Linked DNA regions of Daphnia pulex. The main gene of each other region encodes a partner of the protein of the gene in region 2 in a complex. Links are inferred from orthologs where the notes say so. Each region holds a gene or a part of one and is shown on either strand. Other genes may lie near its edges. The genes, in order: U5 small nuclear ribonucleoprotein 40 kDa protein-like, pre-mRNA-processing factor 17-like, pre-mRNA-splicing factor RBM22-like and pre-mRNA-splicing factor SPF27-like.

The links.
Region 1: pre-mRNA-processing factor 17-like (region 2) and U5 small nuclear ribonucleoprotein 40 kDa protein-like share a complex: the UniProt entries of both Homo sapiens proteins name them as parts of the postcatalytic spliceosome P complex. The link is inferred for Daphnia pulex from reciprocal best matches to the Homo sapiens genes CDC40 and SNRNP40.
Region 3: pre-mRNA-processing factor 17-like (region 2) and pre-mRNA-splicing factor RBM22-like share a complex: the UniProt entries of both Homo sapiens proteins name them as parts of the postcatalytic spliceosome P complex. The link is inferred for Daphnia pulex from reciprocal best matches to the Homo sapiens genes CDC40 and RBM22.
Region 4: pre-mRNA-processing factor 17-like (region 2) and pre-mRNA-splicing factor SPF27-like share a complex: the UniProt entries of both Homo sapiens proteins name them as parts of the postcatalytic spliceosome P complex. The link is inferred for Daphnia pulex from reciprocal best matches to the Homo sapiens genes CDC40 and BCAS2.

The regions. Positions count from the first base shown.
Region 1 is NC_060027.1:3,204,142-3,209,533, reverse strand, and holds U5 small nuclear ribonucleoprotein 40 kDa protein-like, read left to right. Parts: upstream 1-2,266; 5' UTR 2,267-2,609; coding exon 2,610-2,687; intron 2,688-2,843; coding exon 2,844-2,973; intron 2,974-3,036; coding exon 3,037-3,210; intron 3,211-3,272; coding exon 3,273-3,481; intron 3,482-4,407; coding exon 4,408-4,611; intron 4,612-4,669; coding exon 4,670-4,835; intron 4,836-4,906; coding exon 4,907-4,959; 3' UTR 4,960-5,039; downstream 5,040-5,392. Other genes in the region: syndecan-like, read right to left, coding at 1-92, 235-355, 1,154-1,246. UniProt on the Homo sapiens protein: Required for pre-mRNA splicing as component of the activated spliceosome. Component of the U5 small nuclear ribonucleoprotein (snRNP) complex and the U4/U6-U5 tri-snRNP complex, building blocks of the spliceosome.
Region 2 is NC_060023.1:9,544,720-9,550,178, forward strand, and holds pre-mRNA-processing factor 17-like, read right to left. Parts: upstream 3,530-5,459; 5' UTR 3,421-3,529; coding exon 3,268-3,420; intron 3,202-3,267; coding exon 2,985-3,201; intron 2,924-2,984; coding exon 2,682-2,923; intron 2,624-2,681; coding exon 2,524-2,623; intron 2,459-2,523; coding exon 2,244-2,458; intron 2,182-2,243; coding exon 1,918-2,181; intron 1,850-1,917; coding exon 1,716-1,849; intron 1,648-1,715; coding exon 1,426-1,647; intron 1,348-1,425; coding exon 1,170-1,347; 3' UTR 812-1,169; downstream 1-811. Other genes in the region: active breakpoint cluster region-related protein-like, read left to right, coding at 1-85, 141-292, 361-574; mannosyl-oligosaccharide 1,2-alpha-mannosidase IA-like, read left to right, coding at 4,291-4,751, 4,813-4,951, 5,318-5,459. UniProt on the Homo sapiens protein: Required for pre-mRNA splicing as component of the activated spliceosome. Plays an important role in embryonic brain development; this function does not require proline isomerization.
Region 3 is NC_060024.1:7,162,335-7,167,818, forward strand, and holds pre-mRNA-splicing factor RBM22-like, read left to right. Parts: upstream 1-2,222; 5' UTR 2,223-2,266; intron 2,267-2,322; exon of another isoform or gene 2,323-2,342; intron 2,343-2,998; exon of another isoform or gene 2,999-3,016; 5' UTR 3,017-3,092; coding exon 3,093-3,146; intron 3,147-3,219; coding exon 3,220-3,273; intron 3,274-3,360; coding exon 3,361-3,624; intron 3,625-3,684; coding exon 3,685-4,200; intron 4,201-4,264; coding exon 4,265-4,621; 3' UTR 4,622-4,703; downstream 4,704-5,484. Other genes in the region: uncharacterized protein LOC124200919, read left to right, coding at 1-135, 204-365, 444-692, 761-793; uncharacterized protein LOC124200920, read right to left, coding at 817-843, 1,655-1,783, 1,843-1,938, 2,145-2,222; renalase-like, read right to left, coding at 4,762-4,923, 4,993-5,064, 5,137-5,234, 5,297-5,470. UniProt on the Homo sapiens protein: Required for pre-mRNA splicing as component of the activated spliceosome. Involved in the first step of pre-mRNA splicing.
Region 4 is NC_060018.1:4,113,763-4,118,042, reverse strand, and holds pre-mRNA-splicing factor SPF27-like, read left to right. Parts: upstream 1-2,162; 5' UTR 2,163-2,223; intron 2,224-2,293; 5' UTR 2,294-2,345; coding exon 2,346-2,450; intron 2,451-2,641; coding exon 2,642-2,734; intron 2,735-2,802; coding exon 2,803-2,975; intron 2,976-3,040; coding exon 3,041-3,151; intron 3,152-3,212; coding exon 3,213-3,378; 3' UTR 3,379-3,435; downstream 3,436-4,280. Other genes in the region: uncharacterized protein LOC124189006, read right to left, coding at 28-398, 561-685, 853-1,098, 1,306-1,483, 2,407-2,438, 3,667-3,745, 3,810-3,912, 3,991-4,190 and 1 more. UniProt on the Homo sapiens protein: Required for pre-mRNA splicing as component of the activated spliceosome. Component of the PRP19-CDC5L complex that forms an integral part of the spliceosome and is required for activating pre-mRNA splicing.

The DNA.
Region 1 (5,392 bases), on a different chromosome or scaffold from region 2:
CTCTACCGGCGCAGGGTTGTCGTCATATTCATCCACTTCTTCCTCGTCTTCTTCTTCCTCCTCTTCTTCTTCTTCGTCTTCCACCCCGAGGGCTGAAACAATAAACCATCAAACTCAATTTCAAAAGAGAAACGAATCGCACAAACAAAACGCCGAGCACTGCTGTTCCCTCTGAAACAACAACAAGAAAGAGGGAGACAGAGTCGACTCATCGATAGATATTTCTCCTCTTACCCGGTTTCAGGGGACCTAATCCGGAAGCTTCATCCGCCAGCTGGATGTCGTCGTCACCTTCGTCGTCAATGTACAAGTCGTCGAGAGCTTTCAGATTGAGCCCACTCACTTGCTGCTGCTGCCATACGGAATCGAGAAGAAGAAGAAGATTACGTGTCGTTGTATAATTCAGTTCTTCTTAAATGTTAGTGGGCGTGGGGGGTTCTAGAAACTGAGGGAATTTCAATTGGGCGGGGGATGAACATGAGACGCAACGAGTCAAATGAATAAATCATCAAGACTTAATCCTTGACTGGTACGTAGCTTCTTTTGTTTTGTTTAGTTTTTCGCAAGGAAAAAGCCTTGAGACCTCCAATGGCCTAGATTACTACTAGCAAAGGACATTCATTCATGTTCAAACTTCAGGTTAACCTTAGAGGTACGACCAAGGTCGGCACATGCAAATTTTCTCGTTTCTCTCCTATTTGAGAATGAAAAACAGTTACATAAAAGAGCTGCAATTTCTCATATATCTGCCAAAATTGTTAAAAGGTTCTTTTTCTTTTGGAAAAAATAAAACCGTTCGGGAAAATCGAGCGCAGAGGAATGTCTTGATTTGAACATCAGACGCCATATTTCCTTAAGGGGCTCATGGGAGACCCTCTCGATGGTGCTGATGCTAATGTCATCAACAGAACTCGAGAGACAAACACAAACAACTTAGCTGAAATTTTTTAAAACTACAAGAAAACAAAACTTCCACATCATTAAGTAATCTCTCTCTCTCTCCACAAAACGTTAGTTTAAAAAGAACGACAAAATAAAACAAAACCCAACAAAATGTGTCGTGACAAAATTGTGAGCCTGGAATCAAGGGTGTGGGAGTTTTATGATAGTCCAGATGTGTGAAAAGATCAATAAAAAGTGGTGGCATTCTTACCTTGGCAACCGATGATGCACTGTTGATGTTACTGCTAACCGAATGTGCAGCCAAAAAGGCGATGAAAATCGCCATATGTATTCTGGGATTCATTTTTGAGAGAATTTCCTGAGCGTTTGAGAGTCTGCCTTACGTGTGTGTGAGAGGGTGGAGAGAGAGATTTTTTCAGTATTATTTATTTTAAGAGCCGGATATCCGTTTCTAAAGTTTTCTTCCAAGATTTTTGTGTTATTTCAATACAAAAGTGGAGAACGTGGTCGAATAAATTAGGATAGTTGCAGCCTTTTGTCCGTTTTTCTAATTTTCTAAACACAGACGGTGATGCTCTCAGGTCAGGCTGGGCATTTTCTTTCTTTCTTTCACACTTCTTCTCTCTCACAGGCGCGCACTCAACCACACAGTTCACTGGTGAAGCCAAAACGATGGCCGAGTTTTACTCGTCGATTCGGGGACGGAATGTTAAATATCAACAGAACAAAAAGAGTTGCCGGGAATTGGCGTGATTTCGAGACACTTCTCGATGTAACCAAAGGCCGAAATGGATTAAAAGATCCCAACTCACGCCCAGATCATCAAACACACCAGCCGAGAGCCGCCATTAAACTGAAGGGACTGGATTTTTCTTTGTGTCCCTCCGCCGCCATTGGGTACCAAAAACTCTGCCATCTGGCGGCAGTTTTCAGCTCCTCCCCACTTTCTCCTCCAACAACATAGACGTGGAAATTATACGGACGAATGTAAACCACACACACGGGAAAGAAAAGGAAAAACAAAAATCAATCTCATCATTTCCTCATCATGTTGGGAAAAAATGAATGACTCAATTTAGGTCATGGATTCAGCGCTCAAAATATCTTCATCTCGAGAGACTAGTTTTGTTCTTTCCGACGCACCAAATTTCGTTGGAATGGAAAAGAAATCCCAGACATAGCGACTATCACATATACTGGTGAAGTCGTTTTCTTGCGAGTGTTAAAAAACTAGAAGGTCCTCTGTTCTATAGTCACACGGACACACAAAACTTAAGAAAATATCGAGGGGAGAGATTTAATGTTTGTTGTTTCTCCCTCCTTCTTCTAACACTCCTTTTCTTTTTTTACGATCGTGGGTTCGCCTGTTTTCCGGCCCCAATAATACCCATTGTTTTCCAAGACTGCGCGGGTGTTCATGAAATTCCTCGAGTTACAACTTCTTTTTCCCAAAAAAAGAAAGAGAAAAAGGGTTCGGAAATTCTTGAGCGATATACCACTGTGACAGCTTTTCCCCATCTCAATTTTTATTCTTTTATTATACCAAAGTCTTTCCAAGTTTCCAACAAGATTTGGAAAAGGCGACCACTATAAAATATAGATCTAGCAAGAAAAGGCTTCTGCTCCGTCAGTAGTAGTTGTCAAAACTTTTTCACTTTTTTTTTCTACAACTTGAAAATTTTCTTAAAAGTCTAGAAGCCGGAGCAATGGCGCTTGTGTCAGTAAACAATCCCAGCAATAATGAATTGGTGTCGGCCACCTCGGGTCAAGTGGCCCTGCAACAGGTTTGATTTATTTGTGTTTTATTTATAAACTTTTAAATGAGCCGAATGCATCACAAAAGAGAATTGCATCCAACCACATGCTGACCAGCTTGTGTGTTTTGTTGTTGTAGATGCTATGATGAATTCAAATGTGATATTGACTTTTTCAATAAACAGGGACCAGCAAGAACGTCTAGCCTCATGGCTCCTATAATGCTCCTGGCAGGACATCCTGGAGATATCTTTAGCCTGAAGTTCCATCCTGACGGCCAGTTTTTGGTTTCCACCGGGTTCGACAGACAAATATGTAAGCATCATATATACATTTGAGCATCTCTACTGTTTGGATAATCAACCTCTTGTTCAACAGTTTTGTGGAATGTTTATGGAGAGTGTGAAAACTTTGCTGTGTTGTCTGGTCACACCGGAGCAGTAATGGATCTTCAGCTGTCTACCGATGGTGATACCATTTACACTGCTAGTACAGACAAAACCATTTGTTTGTGGGACACCAGAACAGGAGCTAAAATCAAGAAACTGAAAGGTATACCATTGTCACTGTCCCATTATTTAGCAATTGAACCCAACAACAATTTGTTTCAACAGGCCACTCCTCCTTTGTCAATGCTATTCATCCTGCACGAAGAGGACCTCCTCTTCTCTGCAGCGCCTCAGATGACTGCAACATCAAAGTCTGGGATCCAAGAAAAAGAACCGAGACAGTATCATTAGATAATTCTTACCAAGCGACTTCCGTCACCTTCAACGATACCGCCGAACAAGTCATTTCCGCAGGCATCGACAACGATGTTAAGGTGAGTTCGCAAAATTCAATTGTTGTAATAGAGAGAGAGAGAGAGAGAAGAAAAACTATGGGACCAATTTCCAAGAATTTGAATTAAGCCACCGATTCGGCGAACTTCATATTCCGTGTGAGTGGGAGAAAGTCACAAACTTGAGTATTTTTCTTACAGAATTGATTAAAGTTCTCAGTATTTTTACTTGATGGCTTCAAGAGAATAGTTTGGCAAAAAAGGAAGGACCTGCAGTCATATTCTGTCTTTGTTGTAAAAACTAAAGTTTCGACATTGTTGATTGTTTTCTACTTAATATTGAACCATATTCGTGCAAGTTCTGTCTTACCCTATCATCGAGTTCATTTTCCTTGAAGAGTGCAAGGGATTTCAACTTTGGTATTCTGATTATCGCGTGTCTCACCTTGATAAGGTCACCAAGTCCTTCCTTACTTCCAGGGCCCCTTCTCTTTGATATATGAATGGGTTCACTAATGTAAGCTCGTAGGCGAAGTTTTTAAAATTAATTCAAGTAATTTCAGCAGTAGGGTCTCGTCAAATGTCCTAATTCCATCCTAATTACTGAAGATGCGCATTTTTGTGTTTTGTCAGTTTGAGGCAAATGTGAAACGCTGGAAGCGGATTCTGATACTTCTTTGCTTGTCAGATGGTTGCACATTATCGATCAAAACTTTTCCCCGTAATACTTATGACAATTTTGCGACATCTTTAGGAAGAATTTACTCTGAAAAATAGATAATTTTCACTTTTTATCGATTATCTTTTCGTTCGAACTAAACCCATGTTAAGTTTTCTCCTTTTTTTGGAAGATATTCATTTTAAAACCTGAAAAGTAGTTTTGCATTTGCGATATTTCAACTGGTCCTGGCCTTGAGCTATTCACGTGAATATGGAGAGATAGGTAAATCATACACTTTCCTTTTTAGGTCTGGGACTTGAGAAAAAATGCTCTCCTCTACTCCTTGAAGGGCCATTCCGACACTGTGACCGGCTTGACTCTCAGTCCTGATGGATCTTACGTGTTGTCAAACTCGATGGACAACTCTTTACGTGTCTGGGATGTACGACCTTTCGCTCCTCAAGAACGTTGTATCAAAATGATGGTTGGCCATGCTCACAACTTTGAAAAGGTATATACAATGCCGGCGAATTTCTCAATCCATTCTAATACCTTGTGTAATGTTATAGAATTTACTTCGCTGCTCATGGTCACCTGACGGAACCAAAGTTTCAGCGGGATCTGCCGACCGATTCGTTTACATTTGGGACACTACATCTCGCCGCATCATTTACAAATTACCTGGTCACAACGGAAGTGTCAATGACGTTGTATTTCATCCTAAGGAACCTATTGGTAATTTACGCAGCAAATCAACATCAAGGACATCAATTAATTTCAGATTTTTTATTTTGAATGAAACATAGTTGCATCCGGTGCCAGTGACAAGCTGATTTACCTAGGCGAAATTGACGCTTAATTAGGAAAGGTTATAATTTTTTTCAGTTGAAACGATGGCAAGGATCGAGGACGAATAAACAAATAATTCTTTTACGCATATTTACAAAATTGCATTTAAATTAATCGACATTTAAAGGCCAAAAAAAACTTAATTGGATTGTTTGCTCGTTCTCGAGTCCATTTAGAGATCATCACGTTAAGAAAATGCAATTATGAATGGAAAAACTAGGAAGAAAAGGTTAGCTAGGTACGAATAATGTTAACGGCACGTGAGAAAAATCAATGGATGAAGTGCCATCCTCTGATCAAGTGATGACTTGCGAGAAGGTGTTTCAAAAGTGTCTGAGTGCTATTGTTCTGTCACGTCTTCGCAGTGACAAAGATAGCGGAAGTGTCCTCCTTAGCGCTTTAGAGAATTCAGTACTCCTGAGAATGTAGAGCAAAGGGCTAAT
Region 2 (5,459 bases):
TTCTATAAGCGGTTTATTGAAATTGTACCTTCGCCAGTTGCCCGAAGCGTTGTTTACCGATAGACTTTATCCGCATTTTCTTCAAGTAAATATTTAAAAAATTGATTAGTGAAAAGTCTGTTTATTGACGCATTGTTCAGGCATTCAGTACATTAGACGTTGCTTCAATGAATGCCGTCGAGGACATTACTATTACTCGCGATGTTGGGGTTAGAAATCTAGCCATACTATTCTCCTCATTGCCGCAATTGAATCAAACAGTCATAATGCACTTGCTAGACCATTTGATTTGGTAAGTTCGTTTTGTCAAATACATTTTAGACTGTAATGATACTTACCTTCATCATTATTTTTTTTTAGTGTCAACTGTAAAGAAGTGAAGAACAAAATGTCTCTCCATAACCTAGCTACTGTATTCGGCCCTACTTTGTTACGACCAGCTCCTACCGATACTCCGGACAGTCTTGATCAACTCGCAATGGGAACAATTGACGTGATGGCGCAAGCAGGAATTCTCCACTACTTTCTGCTTAGGAGAGCACGTCGACTTCCGATTCAGTATCCTCCCGTCTGATGTTATAAGGTTCAGCAGCTACTTAAAATATCGTGATTTGGGACCCGATTAGTAAGTGAACCAACTTAAAGATTCTCATTTTTTATATCGAGAAAAAAACAGGGACCAACTGTCCATTAAGTCAAAGAGATGCAATATTTTTTTTCTTTTTTTTTTAAATATTTTGTTAATTTTCGATTTCCCCCACAAAACATCAACGGGGCGTGTTACATTTTTAGATCTTGAACCAGAGCTAACCATTTTTATACAAAATGTATTGCCATAAAGAATAAGAGTCTTAGTTTAAATGTTTTTGTGTTTCATTGTGTCTTTTGTGAAAGAGGCTTAAGTACTTCTGGGCGTTTGTCTTGTGTTCGTTGACCTTTGATAGAATGTCAAGAAATTCTTCGGGCATTTAAACGGATAATTCAGTTACGAATGTAACTGTAGACAACGCATATCTTTTCTTTTTTTGTGTGTTACGTGAGTACAGTACAAGCATTTGTATGTGTTAAAAGATTTGTACTTCTCATAAATCATTCACGTGAAATCGGAGCGCCAAGCCTTTTAAATTTGTCCATTTTTCAAATTGATAAACCCTGAATGACACGTATCTCTAGTCCCAAAACTTAATTAATCCATCCCATCCAGCTGATGCAATTTTCGATGTCTCGTGAGGATGCCATAAGACGGAACTACAGACAGCTTGGTGAGCCTTCCACCTAGCCAGCACTCGAGTAGTTTTCCAGTCCCAAACGAAGACTTTGCCGTCAGCGTCGCCGGAAATCACGTAACTAAAAAAAAAAGAAAATAAACACAGTTAAGAGGGGACGAACAAGAATCAACAATATAAAGATACTGCAAGAACATACCTCATTTCAGGTGAGAAATCAAGACCACACGCATAACCAGCAACCATGTGTCCCTTGAAAGTTTTCTTTCTGTTGAGTTTGAAGCGGTTTAGTGCAGAGTAAATGACGATTTTGTTATCCATGCTTTGACATCCAAGCCATTTCAAATTTGGTGCCAGCGTTACAGCAGGCATGGAATGCATAGTGGGATCGGCGATGTATTTCATGTCCACAGGAATATCCCTGTAACAAAAAGGTGTCTCAATTTCTGTCTTTTTTTTTTAGAAGCTTCTTCGTTCTTTTAATCTTACCATTCCCAAACGCGTAAACTCTTGTCATCGGATGTAGACACAAATCTTCGATTCTCATCGACGAAAGTGATTGTGTTGACGGCACCTAAATGCCGATCGTATTCTTGAACAGCTTCACCGGTGCGAGTGTCCCACTATATTAATACAAAAAAAAAAGATTAAGATTTTGAAGTAGGAAATAATAGAATGACTAAAAACTTACGCAGACAATTTTCTTATCCGCCATTCCAGCAACGAAAAGATGTTGCTTATCTTCTTCAGGGTTGAATTTGACGCAGTAGGGCACCTTCTTATTCGTAAATCGAGAAATAACCTGTCCTGTTTCTGTATCCCATAATTTGATGTAACGATCATACGCTGCAGAAAGGAACTTATCGCCAGTGTTGTTGAAGCTTATGTCTCGCACAGCTTGCCGATGGCCAAAATAAGTGCGGACGCATCTTCTGTCCTTGTACACCTCCCAGATCTAACAAGTTAATGCGTTGAAATAACTAAGAATTTGAGGATAATTTAGGCTCACAAATGTACCTTGACTCTTCCATCCATGCTGCACGAAAGGAGCAGATGAGCAGTCTTAGGAAACCACCGAATCTGCGCCACTCCCTTATTGTGTCCTGTCCAGGCGTGGATCTGTTTTTTCGGGATGAAACATTTATTAGGTGGGGCGTCTGAACGTAAGTTGACGCCTATGTCATGAGGTGCGTGTAAAAAGTTTCGGCCTTGGTAGTCCACAGGGTCATCAACTGTAAATTTCGATTATTAATTAGTTTATGCACGGTCTTCATAATATTTATTAAATATTCCTTACTATGGAGAGTTGTTTTTTCTTCAATTGCTTTCTCCTCATACCTGGGTTTACCCCTTTTCTTCATTTTGGCTAAATATGCATCAAGTTCTTCCTTGTCAGCCTAAATTTTTAAAAATTATATGAATATTTCATTATACAAATTTAAATATTTCATTTACCTCTGAAGGCTTCGCACTTCGATTTTCATTTTCATATGGTGCCCATGGTCCTCTGTATCCTTCTAAATCAGCAGAATCATCATTCTTTTCTAATTTTCTCTTATTTGTAGCTCTGCTGGGATCTGGTCTATTGGGGTTCTCAAAGACTGTTCGGCCAGAGGAAGATTCAGCTGATTCAATGTTTCCAACATAACTATTTCCTTCATTTTGAGTTAGACCAACTGTTGGATCTAGGGCATAACCTGAAAACGTCAATGTTTAAATTATTTGAACGAAAGCAAATTAAAAAATATGTATACAAACCAAAACTGGTGAAAGTTTTTCTTTGGGCTTCAAATTGAAATTCACTCAAGTGGGCAGGTTCGACAAATCCAGCTACTGTATTTCTGTGTGCTCTTTGCTGCCCTGTTTTGAATGGACAATCTGGTCCGAGTGTAGGTGCATAGAGTTCTTCTGCTTTGGGATTATAAAGCAGTTCTTTGGATGTCGGATCCACATGTCGTAAAGGATCTAATTCTTCCTGTAAAAAGAATTTGTTTAATTTACCATTTCAACAATTAGTTCGAAAAAGAAAATCAAGGCTTACATTCGGTAAAACGTCGGGTGCTGCAACTACTGAAACGACCAACTTCTGGTTGACCAATTCAGTCGTATTAATGGGATTAAGATGGGAATCTTCGCCACTTCCACTGTCATCGTCACTACTTCCATAGTCACGTAATGCTGCCACTGAGGCCATTTGGAAATACTTGTAAAATAAGCTCAAAATCTCAAACTAAACTTGCTTATTAACCGCGAAAAGAAACAACCGTAGTCCAAAACGTCAAGAGCATGTTTGAGGCAGAGTTGCCGGAATGCTGGAGGAGTCAACAAAATAAGAAGGTAATATTTTTTTTTACATATGTGATAATATGAATTAATGAATCGCCAAAAATTTTTTCTACGTTTTATTTATATGATCGAAAAATTGGATTCTGAGATGATTTATTGCGACTTTTCTCTACTCTGTGGCACCTCTGGACGTGCAATACAGACATGTATAGACTAGCCTCAATATTGAATATACCGTTGTTCTTTTAGAATATTCGAATGGAATGATATTTCGAAAAAGGCTAATAACTAAAGGTGATCGATTGTCAGTTACAGAAATATTAAATTTATCGTAGGAAGTTTCTAGTTATAACTTAAAATTAAGAAGATGATGCGGGACTTTTAGGCTTTAGTCTTTACAGCCCGTCTCGCCGTCTCGGTACAGGTGGCGTTGTATAGGAAAGTGACAACCAATGCGTGGCCGGTCTTATTCCGTCTATTTCGACCTGCCAGCATAGCAGAGCTGAGAGCTTATCAGTTAGCAGTCTGCTTGCCTCTCTGATTCATTGCCACAACAGCATTTGGAATTAACAGAGAGTTGTGTTAGCATGTCAGTTGTAAGATAGGAATACAAAATACAGTCAGCAGATAAATCATGCTACTTCAATCCGGGTGATTTCAAGTAAACGGCGTAACCAGACCAATTAATTAAATTGGATGGAAATTAATAGATTTGTGTGTGTGCTTCGTCTAGTTCATTCTTGTGCAATTCTTGTTTTGTGGAGAAACTCGTTTCGAAATGGGTCTCGAGAACATTTTACCTACCTATCATAGGTCGCCAACTAAGTTGCCGATATCTCTAAACAAGTTGTGCCGTTCAAAGGAGAGAGTTTTACTGGGTTTTGTGTGTTTTGGGCTTGTAGTTGCTTGTTTTGGAACAGTTTTTTTTCTTCCAGAGTTACGCACTGGTATTGCATTGCCATCAATAAATAGTGTGTACAAGGTTTATGAACATGTACAAAAAGTTGGCCCTGAGTTCATATTGCAGTTACCTCCATTAGCAAAGGATGATGTACATGACGGCAAATCTCAACAACATCATGGCCAAATTGATAAGCCAGATTTCCATTTATTGGAAGATCAAGCCAGATTAAGAGCAAAGATTGAAACAGAAGAGAGACTAGAACTGGAGCAAAACCAGTTGAAAGTTCTACCCAAACCAATGATTCCTTCAAGTAAAAGTGAAGCTGGTGATTCTCGGTATCATACAAATTTTTATAATTGTGTAAATTAAAATAGCTAACAATATTTATTTTACTAGTTCAACCCTATCACATGGGTCATTCAAGAAAGAAAGTGATAAAAACATTGCTGACCAACCCAAAATTCGGCTACCTAAGGTTCAGGGTGGAGACGACGTTGAACCAGACATAAAAGCGAAAAGAGAAACAGTTCGTAAGGTAAAAAAAAAAATCAATAGTTTCCTTTACTTTTAATATTGCATGGACGTTGAACTTACAGTGTGTTGTTTTTATCGGAAAAATAATAATCTCTAGAATCGCTTCCGTATTCTGTTATTTTTTAACAAACATATCATTCGGATTTTAATTCCGGAGTATAATCTCATTAATCACATTGGATGAAAAAATGTAATCTTGTTTGTATAGTGTAAACCTTATAGGAATATGAAACAATTTCTAAGCTTAATATCTGAAGCTCTAACAATAGTCGGATTTCAGAAAGTTCTACAGCGGAACCATGAGAATTCTAAGATGTAGTATTGTAAAAGTTTTCCCCTCTAATCGGTATCCTTTTTTTTAACTTAGATGATGAAACACGCATGGGATAACTACGCAACCTACGCGTGGGGTAAAAATGAGTTGCGGCCCATCAGTCACAAGGGCCATAGTGCCTCAATTTTTGGATCTGGTAATTTTGGCGCTTCAATTGTTGATGGTCTCGATACTC
Region 3 (5,484 bases), on a different chromosome or scaffold from region 2:
TTGAGGCAGGCTAGCTTATCGCCCGAACCAGAAGATGGTGACAAGGATGTCGATGTTGATCTCTATCAAGCCGCTGTTCTGATTTTGGCTCATTTGGATCGATTAGCATCTCCATTTATTCAAACATTCAAATCGGTATACTTTATTTCAATTTAGCAAATTCTTTGCAGATTTATTATTTGTTGTACATTGCCATTTTTTAGGATCGCGTAGTTATGGAAAATACTTTAATTCGATTGGATTTGAGCGCCGCTACGGTGGACCCGGGTGGACCGTTTCACAGTAGTCCAGAAACTTCCAATAACGATAGATCAAGTTGTCTGCACAGCCCTTGGTCTCCTGTTTCTTTCCGGCGATGGCAAAGTGTACACAATCAGCTATAACGATCAAGAACCGGTCAGTTTAGTCTTGCTCAGGATGAATTTTGCTTTTTCATTCGTTAGTTTCAAAGGATTTTGAGTCACGGAGATCAAGTGGGCATTGATGTTGGGCATCACGGCTGCTCCTTACCTGTGTTGCAGCGTTTGAAGAACCACGTTATTGCTCTTGCAGGGGAAATCCAAATCTGGGTGCCGTACAAGATACAGCTCAAGCTTTTCTCCAATTGGCTTGGAGTCTTCTTTTGCCTACTGCTTCAGAAAGAGCTTCAGCATTGCCCACACTTTTGCAAAGAGACGACGAATATGATAGTTGTATGTCCACAGAGAGATGCATTTCATTGGCTTGCCATCATCTAAGTTCATTTCGATTTGTCTTTAAGGTGGTGGACGTTTCATGGCCGATTTATTGGTGATTTCCATGATGGCGGACGGAGGGTTACAAGCAGCTTTCGAAGCTTCGTTGCTAGGTAAACCAGATAAGACCAATTTTATTTGAGTAATTTTTATTGCATGTTTTCTATCAAAATTTTCAGCTGAAGCAAATGATCTTGAGATAAACGGCCGATGCAATAACGACGCGGTATTGAGAATAGGGGATGGCGCAAAAAAATAAAAAAAATAATAAAACATACTATAAATAAGAGAAAAAAAAAATATCTCCCAATCATACTATAGCTGGGAAAAATTTACTTTTCGAGTTATTCACGTTGAAAGTTTCGACTACGTGGCCCACCTCTAAAACGCAGGAGGTGGCCTATTTATCACGTGATTCTTGGTGCATTACCGCTGGTCAGTTTTAACCAATGAGAATAGATCACGTGATCGGGGGAACCAATAGAAGCGGGGAACATCTGTCATTTCGTCTGTGTCCGCAAGGTGTCGCGTCAAGCTTGTAGCAATCTAGTTTTTTTACCGCCATGTGGTAAAAGAATGAAAAGTTGTTTTCAGGGATACGCATTCTATTGGCTGTTGCCGGTCACGTGATCTGCTCCCATTGTAAAAACTGACCAGAGCTAAGCTAAAACTGGCAGAGCCAGGGAGTCGAAACTTTAAACGTGAATAACTCGTAAAGTAAATTTTTCCCAGCTATAGTTTGATTGGGAGATATTTTTTATTTATTTTTTCTCTTATTTTTAATATGTTTTATTATTTTTTTAATTTTTTGCGCCATCCCCTATTCAGACAGCATGGAGCCGGAGGAAACCGTTTACTTTCTAAAATTCTAAAAAATGAAGTAAGTTAACAGTTCATTATAAATTAAAATGTTCTCTTACCTTGCATGTAGCTATATGAGTTGGGGGCTGGCAATAACATATGTTCTTTTCTCTTGAAAGACCATAACCTTTCGGCATCCGATAATGGCTTATGCGGTGGCTACTCAAGCTGAAGATTGACGTAAAGGTCTGAAATTACAAAAAAAATTATAATTGAAATATGTAAGAGTGGATGATTAAATAGTTACCTTCCCACAATAATCACATGCGAGAATGGGTGAGTTGGGACAAACTTCAACGCTGGAACTAGGAATTTGACCCAATACTCCCTCAGCCTGATTGTCCTGAAATTTAAAACATGAACATGAATTAGAAAATCATACCCCAGGTAAAAGCATTGTGGATTGCAGATTGCAGGACTTCTTTCCCCTCGATCAACAATGCTATTCACCTAGGGAAGATTGCTGTTGGCAGCTGAGGGTTGGTGGGTGGCTCGACTTCCATGATTTAGAAGGAACTGTGTATATAAATCAAAGTTTACCAAACTTACCTCTAGCGTAGTCTTCTTCAGTTTTTTTACACACATAGACAGGTTCTTTAGTCGCCTGTTAAGCTTCAGGCTGGCCATGGTAGTTCCAATTTTCTTCAACTTCTGGATTTCTTTTGCTAAAGGTAAGTTTGAATGAGGTTAAGAATGAGTTATTACTTTAAAAAATAATGTTACTTACCATCTTTGTTTAGTTTATCCACCCTTTTCTCTATCTCGCCTAAATCCTGGGTAAAATTTGATTCCAGTATTTGGATTGGTATTGGTATTGGTAGGATTAGGTGCGTCTGCTATGTTTAGCAGACATCTGGTCTTCAACTAGATGACCTTCTTGCACCGACGAGATATTTTTTCTATTGATTTTTTTGAGCGATGGCGTGAGCAGTGTAAGTGTTGTATTGTATTGTGTGGAAGGAGCCCCAAGAAGGGGGATGGAAGTACCATCATTGTGTACGATTTGGCGCTAGTGCCTGCCTTTTTAGGAAGAGATCTGTATTGTATGTGTAGTGGTAGTGCCCGGGTATGGGAGCAACTATGCTCACCGGGAGAGTCGAACTCAGGTCTCAAGGTGCTCCCCGATCACCAAGCGACGCCTTATCCAGCTCACCTACCCGCCCCCCCCCCCCCCCAGTATTTGGATATCCATGTCAATTCAGAGTTCAGACGTCAAAAACAAACACTTAAGGAAAAAGGATTGTTTATCGATATTTAACTTTAAATCGATATCCATTGTTTATTTATAATATTTAATTACTTTATGTTATGGAAATTTTTTACAATTCTATTTAAATTATTACACACATTTATTAATTTAAATAAAAATTGTCATAAATTTCCATAAAATGAAGTAAGTAAACAATATATATCGATCCAAGTTAGTATCGATACCGAGACAGACCGATTTTAAAGTTATCGTGTGGTCCTTTGGGGCATCAGATTTTACGTTTCAAAATGGCGCTGTCGAAATCATCAAACACTTATGGACGTACAAGTTGGGAAGATTCGGTAATATTATACTATTTTGATAGTTTAAAATTGAGACTGATACTAACCAGTGAATTAATTTAATATAATTTAGGAGTTTCCAATTCTCTGCCCAACATGTCTAGGAGACAACCCTTACGTTCGAATGGTGAATGAAACTTAACTTAAAAATGCATACGTTAACTATGTTTTTCGTAATTCTTATTCGTAATTCGGTTCCCCTAATTTTTTTTAGATGAAGGAAAAATTTGGCAGTGAATGTAAGATTTGTGTCAGACCTTTCACAACCTTCAGATGGTGCCCTGGTGCCCGTATGCGCTTCAAGAAAACAGAAATTTGTCAGACTTGTGCAAAACTTAAAAATGTCTGCCAGACTTGCTTATTAGATCTTGAATATGGACTTCCCATTCAAGTCAGAGACCAAGCACTTAACATTAAAGACAATATTGCAAAATCTGATGTGAACAAAGAATATTTTATTCAAAATGCTGAGAAACAAGTAAGTTGAATGCTGCTTTGAAATGAATTTTTTACATTCATGCATTTTTATTGTTGACAGCTTTCTGCAACAGATCATGGTGTACCTGGAGCTGCTGGTGGTCCAGGAAAATCTCATCCTCCATCAGATCTTCTGATGAAATTGGCACGCACAGCACCATATTATCGTAGGAACTTGCCACACATTTGTTCTTTCTGGGTGAAAGGTGAATGCAAAAGAGGAGAAGAATGTCCTTACCGTCATGAAAAACCCACTGATCCAGATGATCCATTGGCTGATCAGAACATTAAAGATCGTTATTATGGCACCAATGATCCAGTGGCAGAAAAGCTCATGCGTCGGGCTGCCACTCTTCCTCGTTTGGATGCTCCTGAAGATAAGTCCATTACCACTTTGTATGTGGGTAACATTGGAGAGAAGATGTTGGAAAAAGAACTACGAGATCATTTTTATCAGTACGGTGAAATTCGATCCATCACTATCGTTTCACGACAGCAATGTGCTTTTGTAACATACGTCACCCGCTCAGCTGCAGAATTGGCTGCCGAAGGAACCTTTAACAAACTAATTATTCAGGTACGGACCTTTTACTTTCTGGTTTCAATTCCCCAAAACTTATTCAAATTATTTGAAAATTTAGAATCGGCGGCTTGTTATTCGTTGGGGTAAATCTCAAGGCAAACAGAATGTTCCTGGAACAACAAATACTGAAGCTGGAGCTCGTTTTGAACCTGTTCCGGGTCTTCCCCGAGCTTTGCCACATCCTGAAGAATTGGAGCATAACTTTTTCAATTTAGCTCCTACAAGCAATGCATACCCATCTCCTTATCCTCAATATCCACCATCCACATATCCATTGATCGCTCCACCACCACCAAACCCCACACCAAATCAGGCGGAACTTCCAGTATTTCTTGCCGAAAGTCAGCAGGGCATCCATTACCCTTCTCAGGATCCGACTCGTCTTGGCGCGATTAATAAGACACGACAAACATAACGACAGAAATTTTCAGAATTACGATATGCTTGTCTGTAATTTTTGTATTTCCGTTTTTGAAATTTAAACTCTCACGATAAAATGTCCTGTAATTTATTTTATTTAATATCTATAAGTTTTTTTGCATATAAGGTTTTGCGCTATAAATTGGCTGTTTTTGATGTGAAGTGCTGAATGATTTTTTCAGCCGACGATACACAACCATCGAAGTTCGAATGAGTAAATCCATCCCCACCAACTAGCAGAAGAGGTTCCTGGGAGATCTCAAGTACACCCGGCTGATCTTCATACGGTTTCGTTACCTTAAAAGCAAATAAAATAAAAAGGTAAAATTTGCAAGCACACAGAAATGAAAAAGGGTTAGTGAGAACCTGGGAGTATCTCCATTTATGGCATTTAAATGCCTTTGGTGAAGGTAGATCGGGGAAAGATCGTTTTAAAGCCTTAATCAAAATGTAAAATTCAAAATATAATCTCGGACATTTTAAAACAAAATGTTATAATGCATAATTTACCTCTTTTAGAATAGGTTCCGCTTCTGGGACGGTTAGATCAATATGTTGTACACCGAAGGGGACAGATGTGTGAAGAATCACAGATGTTGGGACGTCAGCTGGATTAACAATATGAGTTGGTAACGTTCGATTCATTCGGCTTGATTAAAATAAAACTTACGCCGATTTCTTCTTAAATTGTCGACTGCGATGAATCGAAATACAGGATCATCTTTTATGTAGGAGGCATCGAATGGTAAATTCAGTTCAGTGCCGTGATCATAATACAAGCTCATTACATAACGTGCACTGTACTTGACATTTTCCAATTTTGTCTTCATTTCATGGTTATTTTCTACAAATTAAAAA
Region 4 (4,280 bases), on a different chromosome or scaffold from region 2:
ATAATAAAGATTAAAAAGAAAGCTTGCCTTGGTCGTCTGATAACCTTCTGGATTTCATCAGACTTCAACAAACGAGACAAATCTGTTCCGGTCATGATGGGCTGAGGCAAGTTGTAGTTGCTCTTCAGCTTAGACTTCTGACGCCAAGTACCGTAGAGGGCGTTCAAGCGTTGGAAAGCAGACTCGGTCCAGATGCAGAAACGGCCAACATGACCACCAGGAGCAAGCTTCATGAGGTTCAGTTTGTTTACTGAAATCATAGAAACTCCGGGGATGTTACGGAAAGCCTTGGTCAAACCCTGATCTCTGCCATAGATGACCAGTGGACCCAATTTGCTGGTACGGCGACGGTTGCGCATCTTACCCTTACCTGCGCGGAAACGCCTGGTCTTGTAAACCTGTAAGAAATCAGATTAATTAGACGGTGTTCACACATAAAATCATTCATGACTCAGATTTTGTTCAGAGCTCTAAGGTGAAATCATTTACTCATAAACACAGACCAAGAAGCAACTCATCATTTTCCCGTGATAATTATACATAAATATCTAGAAACAAACCTTCTGGACATCAGTCCATGCGCGAAGACGGCGCAACAACACGACGGCCTGTTTGGTTTTTTTGTATTCTTGAACCTTGTCCGACACAACCAAAGGCATCTCCGGGACATCATTGATCAAGTGACCTGAATGTAAAAACATTTTAGTTCTAATTCAATATGACCTTATTTACTACTATCATTGTATGGATCAGGGACTCATGGTATGACTTCATGCTTGTCAGAAACACAGGAAACACATATTCATCATGCTAGTATGGAACCGTGCAATGATGATCTTGGCTCATATTTACCTTTGGACATCACCAAAGACGGAATACCCGAAGCAGCGACGGCCGAGCACAATGCAAAACGTTTCTGGTTAACGTTGATCTTGCGATGCCAACGGCGCCAGATCTTGGTGGGGGCAAACATACGTCCACCACGACACATGTTACCATAGGCACCCTGACCGGAGCGATGGGTACCACCTCCTCGGACACGGGGAATACGAGCCACAGCACGACCAGTACCCCATGATTCAGCACTTGTCTGATGACCTGTAATAGGAAAGAAGAAGATTAACAATCACACCATTACATGTGTGTATGAAGTTTGTCCGGTTGCCCAACCCCTCACTTTAAGAAAACAAAGCGAGAAAGGCCTCAGGGACTCGCTTTAGTGTTGCACACTGCACAAGAAGAGTCTGACGTACAATTACTCCTACATTTCAATGCTGTGTGCCATATAATTGGCATACAAGTTACCTGCTTTCTCGCTGACACAATAAGGGTGACGACGATTCATTGACATTTGTTGTTGAACAAAGCTGACAATGTCTGGCCTAATGGGAGCCCTGAAGATTGCAGGGAGCTGGATGCTGGTTCCAGAGGCCTCAGCCTTCTCATTGTAAACGGTAATCAACGGCCTCGCGACCACCTTACTCTGTAAAACAAAATGGATAAACAAATTAGATTTAAGATTTTCAAGAGACAACACTTGAATTTACACAAACTTTGAACTAGATGTACCAATTAACCAAAACATAACAATAAACCAAGAACGACGTTGAATTAACATAGAAAAACAGCAAGAGCCCATTTGACACGAGGACGAAACCACGCTGTGGGTAACATTTTACTCCCAAACTTTCGCCATAGATTAACAAGAAAATGGCTTAGAAAAATATACGCACGCAAGAATTTTCTTAAAACACGTTTCTCCCGTTAACCTTTTTACTTACTATTCGTAAATTAATGTATGTAAAAACTAGTAAAATGTTTGGAGAACCTCATGCTTACCATCTTGGTAGATAGTCCTGACCGGGTAAAAAGGCGAATGAAAGAGACCCACAGTAATGGCGACAAAGAGGAAGTCTACAATGTTGCCGGCATACTTTGAGAATTGCCGCCCTCTACGTTCCGTTTTTTACTTGATTATTTACTTGAAAAATTACAGATTATTCACTGAACTGATCCACTGTTTAATAACAAAAATTATGGAGTTTCAATTGATGATTTCAAACATTTTAATGGAGTGATTAGTTATAAAATTTTTAATATTGTTTTATTTGTTTCACAATGCAACGGTGTCCAAAATATTATTGAATAAAATTTAATATACCAATTTATTTTCATATTTTATTCATTTAAAGGAAGTTAATGATCTTTATTCATTATCAAAAAGTAAGTTTATGAATAATTAGACATAATGAAAATCAATTACTAAAACTGTGGCTCATATTTATTAATCCAGCAGAAAATCTGACAATCTTGCTGACAACAGACAGTTTGACACAAATCACAAAATGCCGATTCCGTCAACAAACATTTCCACGCCGAACGAAAGGATTTTGGTTGACGATTTACCATACGTTGACCAAGAATATGGAGATCCAACTCTACGAGAAGCGGTAAGCAAAACTTATACATTGCAAACTTTGAAATATTTGAATCGCTTCGAATTGAGGCTTGGAGATTCTTGTGTTAGCCTAGTCATCTCTAACATCAATACATTATTGTACTAGACCATAGTACTGTATGTTGCTGAGAACTCTCGCTCTTGTCCAATAGTTGTTTAATGAGAGTAATTTCTTTCTATCAGGCACTTGCATTGGTTGATGAAGAGACACGAAGATATAGACCAACCAAAAACTACCTAGAACATCTTCCTCCACTTGAGCTGTCAGCATTTGAAGTAAGAACTGTCTGCATGGAAGTAATGATAGGAGTGTGTAATAATTATGGAAATTATCATGTTCATAGACTCCTTTGATGAAGACTGAATTTGAGCGACTGTCTCAAAAGAAACCAATGGATGTTTTGAGCATGAAACGATATGAACTCCCACCCCCATCTGCTGGTCGTCTAAATGATCTTCAAGCATGGATAGAGTGTGTTGATAATTCAATGGCTCAATTAGAACATCAAACAACAAGGTTTGTTTTCTAAAAAAAAATTTTACAGCAACCATAAATTTAAAAAAATTTCAATTAAAAAACAGGATTTTGAACTTGGAATTAATGTCAGAGTATGGTTGTGAATCATGGAGAATTTATAACACTGTATTGTCCCAGATGATCCAACAATCTCAGAAGCATCTTCAGGAATTTAAGTATGATTTCAGTAAAGTAGACACCATATTGCAAAATACACTATTATATTTTTCTTTACAGGAAACAAATCCAAGATGTCAATTGGGCTAGAAAAAAAGATCAGACAGAGGTTGGAGACAAAATGAAACATTTGGAAGCCACTTGGTTTGGTTTGATCACTAAAAACTACGAAATCGAACTCGCGTGTGCTGAAATTGAGAGACAGTTAGCTTCACTTAATGAATGAAATTCAATGTAAACCTACTTTATCGAATTCGGATAATACACTGCAACAGGAAATTGATTCATCCGAGATTTTCAGTAAGTGACAACCAAAAAGATTTGGTTGTAAGGGAACAAAACAAAAAAATAGTATAAAGTCATGCACTTTCAGATTAGCTTGTCTTATAAATGGTAAGTAGCACGTTCTGATTTTATATATCACACAATTGAAAACGAGAAGAAGCGTATGAGTACAGCAAAGCGTAATTCAGAGAAGGGTAAAAAAAAGGGTAAGATCATAGGGAAGTCTCACTTGGGGCTGAACTTAAAGGTAAAGGGCGGACGGAAGACTCATCTTCCAGCACCATAACTCGTTGCTTTAGGACGCGAACCTGATAATCACATGACATTTTTATGTCGGTCACACTTGATAACTCGTAATTTTTCTCTATATACCTGCATTGCATGTCTTTCCGACATGTTGACCATTTGCTGCTCTAGTCTTTTTAATCGAGATTGGTACTTTTTCTTAGTCCTCTCAAGAAGTTGGACCAACGTCCTGAAAATTAGTTTACGGATATTACATATTTGTTGAAAACGTAACATATTGTAAGTTAAGCATTTAAAGATATCTTACGCGTTGGCTTTCTTGACATCGCTAACTAGTTCAGCCGACTGCTGACTACGGATTTCTGCACTTGAAGTGACGCGTTCAAGGGCTCCCGTCAACTCTTGGATTTTCAATTGGAGTCGCTTTTCTCGAACTGTTAATTCGTCTCCATCAGCTCCTTCAATTGAGGACAGAGGCTTTTCGCCTGATGCATCTGTGTTAGATCCCTATCAGTGAAAAGTGCGTTTAAGTAACCTAAATCATTCTCCATTTCAATATCCAAAAAACCTACGCCTGTGTTAAGACTTCGAAGTTGA